Linked DNA regions of Saccharomyces cerevisiae S288C. The gene in region 1 interacts genetically with each later gene. Each region holds a gene or a part of one and is shown in the gene's direction. Other genes may lie near its edges. The genes, in order: YJR015W and PTM1.

The links.
Region 2: mutations in YJR015W (region 1) and PTM1 together harm fitness more than expected from each alone (negative genetic interaction), as found in Saccharomyces cerevisiae (2 studies listed by BioGRID).

What each region holds. Positions count from the first base shown.
Region 1 is NC_001142.9:461,003-465,001, forward strand, and holds YJR015W (uncharacterized protein), read left to right. Parts: upstream 1-1,718; coding exon 1,719-3,251; downstream 3,252-3,999. Other genes in the region: GPI14 (glycosylphosphatidylinositol-alpha 1,4 mannosyltransferase I), read left to right, coding at 1-591; TMA22 (Tma22p), read left to right, coding at 827-1,423; dihydroxy-acid dehydratase ILV3, read right to left, coding at 3,449-3,999.
Region 2 is NC_001143.9:360,897-365,000, forward strand, and holds PTM1 (Ptm1p), read left to right. Parts: upstream 1-1,725; coding exon 1,726-3,297; downstream 3,298-4,104. Other genes in the region: NFU1 (Nfu1p), read right to left, coding at 162-932.

The sequences.
Region 1 (3,999 bases):
TTGCTTGGATGTGGTTGGGCAATGTACAAGATATACGGATACGAGTTTCTGGATCAGGCATACTTGTACCACTTATACAGAACGGATCACAGACACAATTTTTCAGTGTGGAACATGCTATTGTATTTAGATTCTGCAAATAAGGAAAATGGTGAGTCCAATCTCTCAAGGTACGCATTTGTGCCTCAATTGCTGCTTGTTTTAGTAACTGGATGTCTTGAATGGTGGAATCCCACATTCGATAACCTATTGAGGGTTTTATTTGTGCAGACGTTCGCATTTGTGACATATAATAAAGTGTGCACATCGCAATATTTTGTTTGGTACCTGATCTTTCTACCATTTTACCTCTCAAGAACGCACATTGGTTGGAAGAAGGGGCTTTTAATGGCCACGCTTTGGGTAGGAACGCAGGGAATTTGGTTAAGCCAAGGTTACTATTTGGAATTCGAAGGCAAGAATGTATTCTATCCTGGACTATTTATTGCAAGCGTGTTATTTTTCGTCACCAATGTGTGGCTACTGGGTCAATTTATTACTGATATTAAGATACCGACGCAACCCACAGTTTCCAACAAAAAGAACAACTGACTGACGTGAACTTGCACCATGTACATCAATTCTATAAATCTACTCATATAATGAATGTGTAAATATGAAAAAAAAAATGCAAAAGCGCACCACCAAAAGAGAAAAAAGCTGAAAAAAAAAAGGAAAAAGATACTTGATGTGATGTGTGAGTGAAAAAATTATTAATTCCTACTGGATAAAATCACCCCAAGGAAACAGTTCAAGAGCTAAACTAAAGAAAAGCATATTGCATAAAATGTTAAGAGAAGTCATCTATTGTGGAATTTGCTCCTACCCACCAGAGTACTGCGAGTTTTCAGGAAAATTAAAGCGTTGTAAAGTTTGGTTATCTGAAAACCACGCAGACCTTTATGCAAAGCTATACGGTACTGACGATAATACGCAAGAGGTGGAAGCCGTGACCAACAAACTGGCTGAATCCAGTATTGGCGAAGCTAGAGAGGAAAAGTTGGAAAAGGACTTGCTGAAAATTCAAAAAAAACAGGAAAACAGGGAACAAAGAGAATTAGCTAAGAAGCTGTCATCGAAAGTGATCATTAAAAGAGAAGCTAGGACCAAGAGAAAGTTTATCGTCGCTATCTCTGGGCTGGAAGTTTTCGACATCGACATGAAAAAGCTAGCCAAGACATTTGCGTCTAGGTTCGCCACAGGGTGCTCAGTCTCGAAAAATGCAGAGAAAAAAGAAGAAGTTGTCATTCAAGGTGACGTGATGGATGAAGTGGAAACTTACATACATTCCTTGCTGGAAGAAAAAGGCCTAAAGGACGTCAAAGTGGAAACCATCGATGCTAAGAAGAAGAAAAAGCCTGCTGCAGAAGGAGCTGCCAAGTAAGCAATCCATAAATATGTAATAGCACCGTTCTGGGAGAAAAGGACTTTTTACTTGGTAACCAGGCGTGTAGGTTAGATAGTCAAACCCTATATCGTTCTTGAGATCGTCGCTCATATATACTGTGCAGCCGGCCCTCGTGCGCCTGCGCCGTTCCTTCTCTGAAACCTTCGTAGTAGGACAATAAATATAGTCCCCATTGCCTATTCAAATTATTTGCAACCGAAAAACTGCAAAATTTGTTGTTGACCATAGGCGTACAAAACACAACTCAATCCAGCCGTAAGTAAGTATAGTTATGACTTCATCTCTAGATGATATAGAACCAACAGCATATAATAATATGGAAGCGGACGAGGAATATTGCAGACGCAACGATATACATGACCTTTCCAGCGTGGTCGGTGATGCTGTCTCACAAGGTGTGCCAGACATGGATGGTCAAACAACGGATTCTTCGAAGGACCCTGAGCCAAATTCCGAGGATAAGAAAGCGTTTCCTCCTTCGAGTGGCTCATTTTTTTCTCCTAATCTACAGGGTCAAAGGAAGAAAGTTCTTTTAAAGTTTGTTTTCACAAATTGCTTACTGGCCATAATTTGCTTTACAATGTTTGTGTTGTTCTGGGGGGCTCTTTACGACACCAGCAAGTATCTACACAAAGTTAAGCTTCTGGTTGTTATCCAGGAACCCCCTGTGGTAATTTTGGATAATAACAGTTCCATGGTAGTGCCCTCCATATCGTATGCTTTGCCTACTTTTATCAATAAAATACCATGTGATTGGGATATTTATAACAGTCCTACCTTCCAGGCCAAGTTCGACGTAAATACGCCACAGCAAGTCAATGACAAGGTTGTCGATTTGGTTTACGACGAAAAATACTGGTTTGCCATTAATATCAAGCCAAACGCCACGGAGACTCTATTTGAATCACTAATCAACGATACCGCACCACTATTCAATTCTACGCTGTTTAATCAGGTGGTATATGAAACTGGTAGAGACCCGACAAACCTAAAATCAACGATTTTACCGGTTGCTCAGACCATTGAAGAGTACTACCATACATTCTACACACTAAATTATCTGCCGCCGTTATTGACAAACATAACCCAGGTATATCGTTATGCACTAACTAACAATGCAAGGTATATCGCTGCAGCAGGTAAATATAACTACGAATACTATGACCACAGACCATTCACAGACCGTATTCTACTGGCACCCACACAAATCGGTGTTGTTTACTGTTTACTGCTAACTTTTTTCCAATTTCTATTGTACGGCCCATTACACGTAGAAATGGCAAAAGTGCTAAGACCAGCCAACGGTTTAATTTACCGTATCGCTATGTCATGGTTCACCTTTTTCTTTGCGTCTTTGTTCTTCTGCACAACAACCGCCATCTTTCAAGTCGATTTTACCAAGTCCTTTGGTAGAGGTGGCTTCGTCGTATATTGGATGTCTACGTGGCTCTTCATGCTTGCTGCGGGAGGAGCTAACGAAAATGCGGTTATGCTTGTTATTACGTTAGGACCCCAGTATCTCGGGTTCTGGATCCTATCATTTGTCATTCTCAATATTGCACCTTCTTTCTTCCCATTAGCGCTAAACAATAATGTTTATAGATATGGGTACATGATGCCCGTTCACAACGTCATCGATATCTACAGGGTTATTTTTTTTGACGTGACAAGACGCAAGATGGGTCGGAATTATGGTATTTTAGTCGCACTCATTGCCTTGAATACGGCACTGTTACCATTTGTTGGCAAGTATGCTAGTAGAAAACTAAAACAGAAGGCTTTAGTGGCAGCAAAGCAGAGTTAATTTCGTAGATTATAATTAAGGCGACTTTTCAAATAAAAAAATACTGATCGTTGTTTTTTTTTAAATAAATGTTTATCCATTCAATGGACTATAATAAATATTTATATATATATATATATGAAAAGATTGCGAACAAAAAAGATGATGGAAAAGGAGAATCTCTATATATATATTCATCGATTGGGGCCTATAATGCATCAAGCATCTAAAACACAACCGTTGGAAGCGTTGGAAACCAACTTAGCATACTTGGATAGAGTACCTCTTGTGTAACGAGGTGGAGGTGCAACCCAACTTTGTTTACGTTGAGCCATTTCCTTATCAGAGACTAATAGGTCAATCTTGTTATTATCAGCATCAATGATAATCTCATCGCCGTCTCTGACCAACCCGATAGGACCACCTTCAGCGGCTTCGGGAACAATGTGGCCGATTAAGAACCCGTGAGAACCACCAGAGAATCTACCATCAGTCAACAATGCAACATCTTTACCCAAACCGTAACCCATCAGAGCAGAGGAAGGCTTTAGCATTTCAGGCATACCTGGTGCACCTCTTGGACCTTCATATCTGATAACAACAACGGTTTTTTCACCCTTCTTGATTTCACCTCTTTCCAAGGCTTCAATAAAGGCACCTTCCTCTTCGAACACACGTGCTCTACCCTTGAAGTAAGTACCTTCCTTACCGGTAATTTTACCCACAGCTCCACCTGGTGCCAATGAACCGTACAGAATTTGCAAGTGAC
Region 2 (4,104 bases), on another chromosome or scaffold:
CCGTTTTTAGTGTATGGAAAAAGTTGAGTGCTTTACCCTTTTTCCATGATGACCGTTGAAACATGTACGGACTATCAAGTAATAGTGAGGGTAAAGACAGTATATACACACTTCCTTTTATTTTCGTCTCATCTTGTATTTTCATTTGAAGGACGGAATATTTACTTTTCATGGCTTGTATTTTTACTCGATTCCAACTTTTTTTCAAGCTTATCAAATTCCTTTAATGCTATTTCTTGCTCAGGATCCATGATCTGAATCACTTCTTTCACTTCATCCACATAGTGCTTCAACATGGACTCAATACCGTACTTCAAAGTCACTTCACTAGAAGAGCATGAGGTACATGCACCTTGTAATCTTAAATAAACGGTTCCAGTCTTTGGATCCCACCCACGGTAATCGATATCACCGCCGTCCTCCAAGATGGCTGGTCTTATTCTTGTATCTATCAGCTCTTCAATCAATTCGCTGACCTCTTCATCTTCTTCGGTAAGTTCAAATTTGGGCATATTTATTTTGTAGCCACCTTCTCCTTCTTCTTCTTGGACAGCATGGAATTCTTTGGATATAACATCTTCACCGTAAGCAAGTTGCTTGGTTAACAAATCTATAATTTCAGGCTTGATACTATTCCAATGGACCATTCTGTCTTTATTAATAGTGAGAAAATCATCACCTATCATTAAAGACTCCACTCCTGGACACTGCAAAAAAATTTGCTGTGCTAACTTGGAATGGTTGATGAGGTTTTCATCAGTGTTCTTAATAACTATACTCTTGGAGCCACGCGTCTGTAGCATCTCGCCATCTGTGGAGAGAAATTTTAAAGCATTTTCATTTGGAGTTGTTAAAGTCTTAATATGAATTAATCTCTGAGAATTTAAGTAAAAAATCGGAGACTTCCCCAATTTAGCCACTGATTTGAACATTGTTAGTCAATTTCTTGCTTTTTTGCTTAGATTACGCTGAGAATGCCTTATGTATTCTAATTAGTCCGCTAAATACGCTTCTTTTTATAATGATTAATAAGCAATATTGTAAGTAGATCACTGAAATTCGGAAAACTTAAATTATTTATCACTTGATACGTTAGAAGGCTATTTCTACAATCACCAGGACTCCGCTAAGTGGTCCTATAGATTTGATGAAATGCCTGCTTTGACGGTCTTGATGATACAAGCTAACGCTTAGCATGTTACTATACTCAATGTACATTGTTTTATCCTCAAGAGACCGCAGACGTTTCAATTTTGTGTTTAAAAGAACAATGGACAGTATATACGTAGTGCCAATTTTCTTCTATGGTGTATTATGCGCATTGAACATTGTAATATCCGTAATGTTGAACATAATTTGGGAATTGCTTCCGAATCTTCAACCTTCATGTATACCTCTTTTCGGCTAGAGTGTGGTACTTTAATTACTGCTTAGTTGTTTTGCCCGATTTAGATATTGCACCCGTGCACGTCACACATAAGCTTGGTCTTTTAAATAGTGTGTGAAAAAACGAACTTGAAGAAAAAGATAGAGCAAGATATATATAGGAGTAGGAATAGGGAGAGTGGAAAAAAAAACTTAGCCTCAAACTAATAGTCAAGAGGATCAACTATTCTGTTCAGGTTTTGCAGGTTAAAAATTGAAATAGAATATTTTCTCGGTAATTTCAAGAAACAGCTGGTAAAAAGGCAGTAAATTTACAGAAACTAAGAGTGTAAGGGCACAATGAGAGTATATCAGTTTTGCCGACCTTTCCAATTATTCACCTGCTTCTTATGCTACCTTCTAGTGTTCGTAAAAGCTAACAAGGAAAAGATAAGTCAAAAGAATTATCAAGTATGCGCAGGTATGTATTCCAAAGAAGATTGGAAGGGCAAAATAGACCCGTTTATATCATTCAATCTTAAAAAAATAAGTGGATTGAGTGATGAGTCTGATCCAGGCTTAGTCGTTGCAATCTATGATTTCCAAGACTTTGAGCACTTAGGTGTGCAATTGCCGGATGAAGAAATGTATTATATTTGTGATGATTATGCAATTGATATCGGGATTTGTGAAGAGGAGAATCGTGATGAGTTTATTGTTCAAGATGTTGTATATGATCCATATACTTCCACAAATAGATCTTTGGCCAATCCAATCATGACGTTTTCTCAAAATGAGGTCGGCCTTCATGATACTAGATACCCAATAAAAGAAACCGGATTTTATTGTGTTACTGCGTTCAGATCATCGACGTCTACCAAGTTCAACGCTGTGGTGAATTTCAGGAATGCTTATGGTCAGCTTGCGGGCACCGAGATCAACAAATTGCCACTATATGGTCTTTTGGCGGTCGCATACGTTGTGGCGATGGCGTTATATTCCTTCGCCTTCTGGAAGCACAAGCATGAATTGTTACCATTACAAAAGTATTTGCTGGCCTTTTTTGTATTTTTAACCGCAGAAACCATATTTGTATGGGCTTACTATGATTTGAAAAATGAAAAAGGTGATACTGCGGGAATAAAAGTTTATATGGTGTTCTTGTCGATATTGACGGCTGGTAAAGTTACATTTTCATTTTTCCTATTATTGATTATCGCTTTGGGCTACGGTATCGTGTACCCTAAGTTGAATAAAACGTTGATGAGGCGTTGCCAAATGTATGGTGCGTTAACTTATGCAATTTGCATTGGATTTTTGATCCAAAGTTATTTGACCGACATGGAGGCACCATCTCCACTAATCTTGATCACCTTGATTCCTATGGCGCTTGCATTAATCATATTTTACTACATGATTATTAGATCCATGACAAAAACAGTTATCTATTTGAAAGAGCAAAGGCAGATCGTAAAATTGAACATGTACAAGAAGCTACTATACATCATTTATGCGTCCTTTTTGAGTGTACTAGCTGGTAGTATAGTTTCGTCATTTATTTACGTTGGCATGAACACTATTGATATGATTGAGAAGAACTGGAGGTCAAGGTTCTTCGTTACTGATTTCTGGCCTACGTTAGTGTATTTCATTGTTTTCGTTACCATCGCGTTCTTATGGAGACCAACAGATACTTCATACATGCTAGCCGCATCCCAACAACTACCCACAGACCCAGAAAATGTCGCGGACTTTGACTTGGGCGATTTGCAATCGTTTGACGATCAAGATGACGCAAGTATCATCACTGGTGAGCGTGGCATAGACGAGGATGACCTCAATTTGAATTTTACTGATGATGAAGAAGGACACGATAATGTAAATAACCATAGCCAAGGCCACGGGCCAGTGTCTCCCTCTCCAACAAAATAACGCTACCTCCAGCAGATTTGATTAGGTGATGAGACAAATAGTTTCTTCGAGGGCAGTCACGAAATGTTTACAAGCGAAAAGAAAGAAATTATGAACCATATGCACTTCTGTTCAATGCGATGTGAATATGAATATGAATATAAATATGAATATAAATAAATAAATAAATAAATGCGTTGCACGTTTCTTTTCATTTATTTGTGCGTGCTTTTACCTGTTTATAACTGTAGTCACCAAAGCTATGCTATACTCTAGACCTAACTTTTTCGTTTTGTATTTATTTAGCCGCTCGCTGGAGTTTTTTTTTTTTCGGTGATAAGATGATTTATATCAAACCGAAACAAGCGAAAAGTTTCTGTTCATCGACTATAAAATGGAAGAGAAAATTGGTCCATAGACTTTTCATGTGTACTTGTTTATGAGAAGAGACGCAGGAAGACCAGAAGTGAGGAATTCCCTTTGTTCAAGGATGAACAACGAAGCCAGATAACGTAAGGTTGCGCGCTGCATCAGTGCTAACCTTATTAGCTTTCTCTGGCTTTTTCGGTCTTTCCTATGTAACATAACATGTATATTCTATTTGTTTATGATGAGACCACGTCCTTAGTGACAATGCTATAAACCCAGCTCTTCGATTCGTTTTTAATGAAAGGGAGAAGATTTTTTTGTCAAACGCTCTGAGTAATAGAATATACATGCGACAACATTTGTAGTTACTTGTCTTACGCTTCCTAGGGAACGGATCATCCGAGTAGAATATCATTTTACGGGATCACTTTATTCGGTGTGATTGCTCGTTAAGCCGCA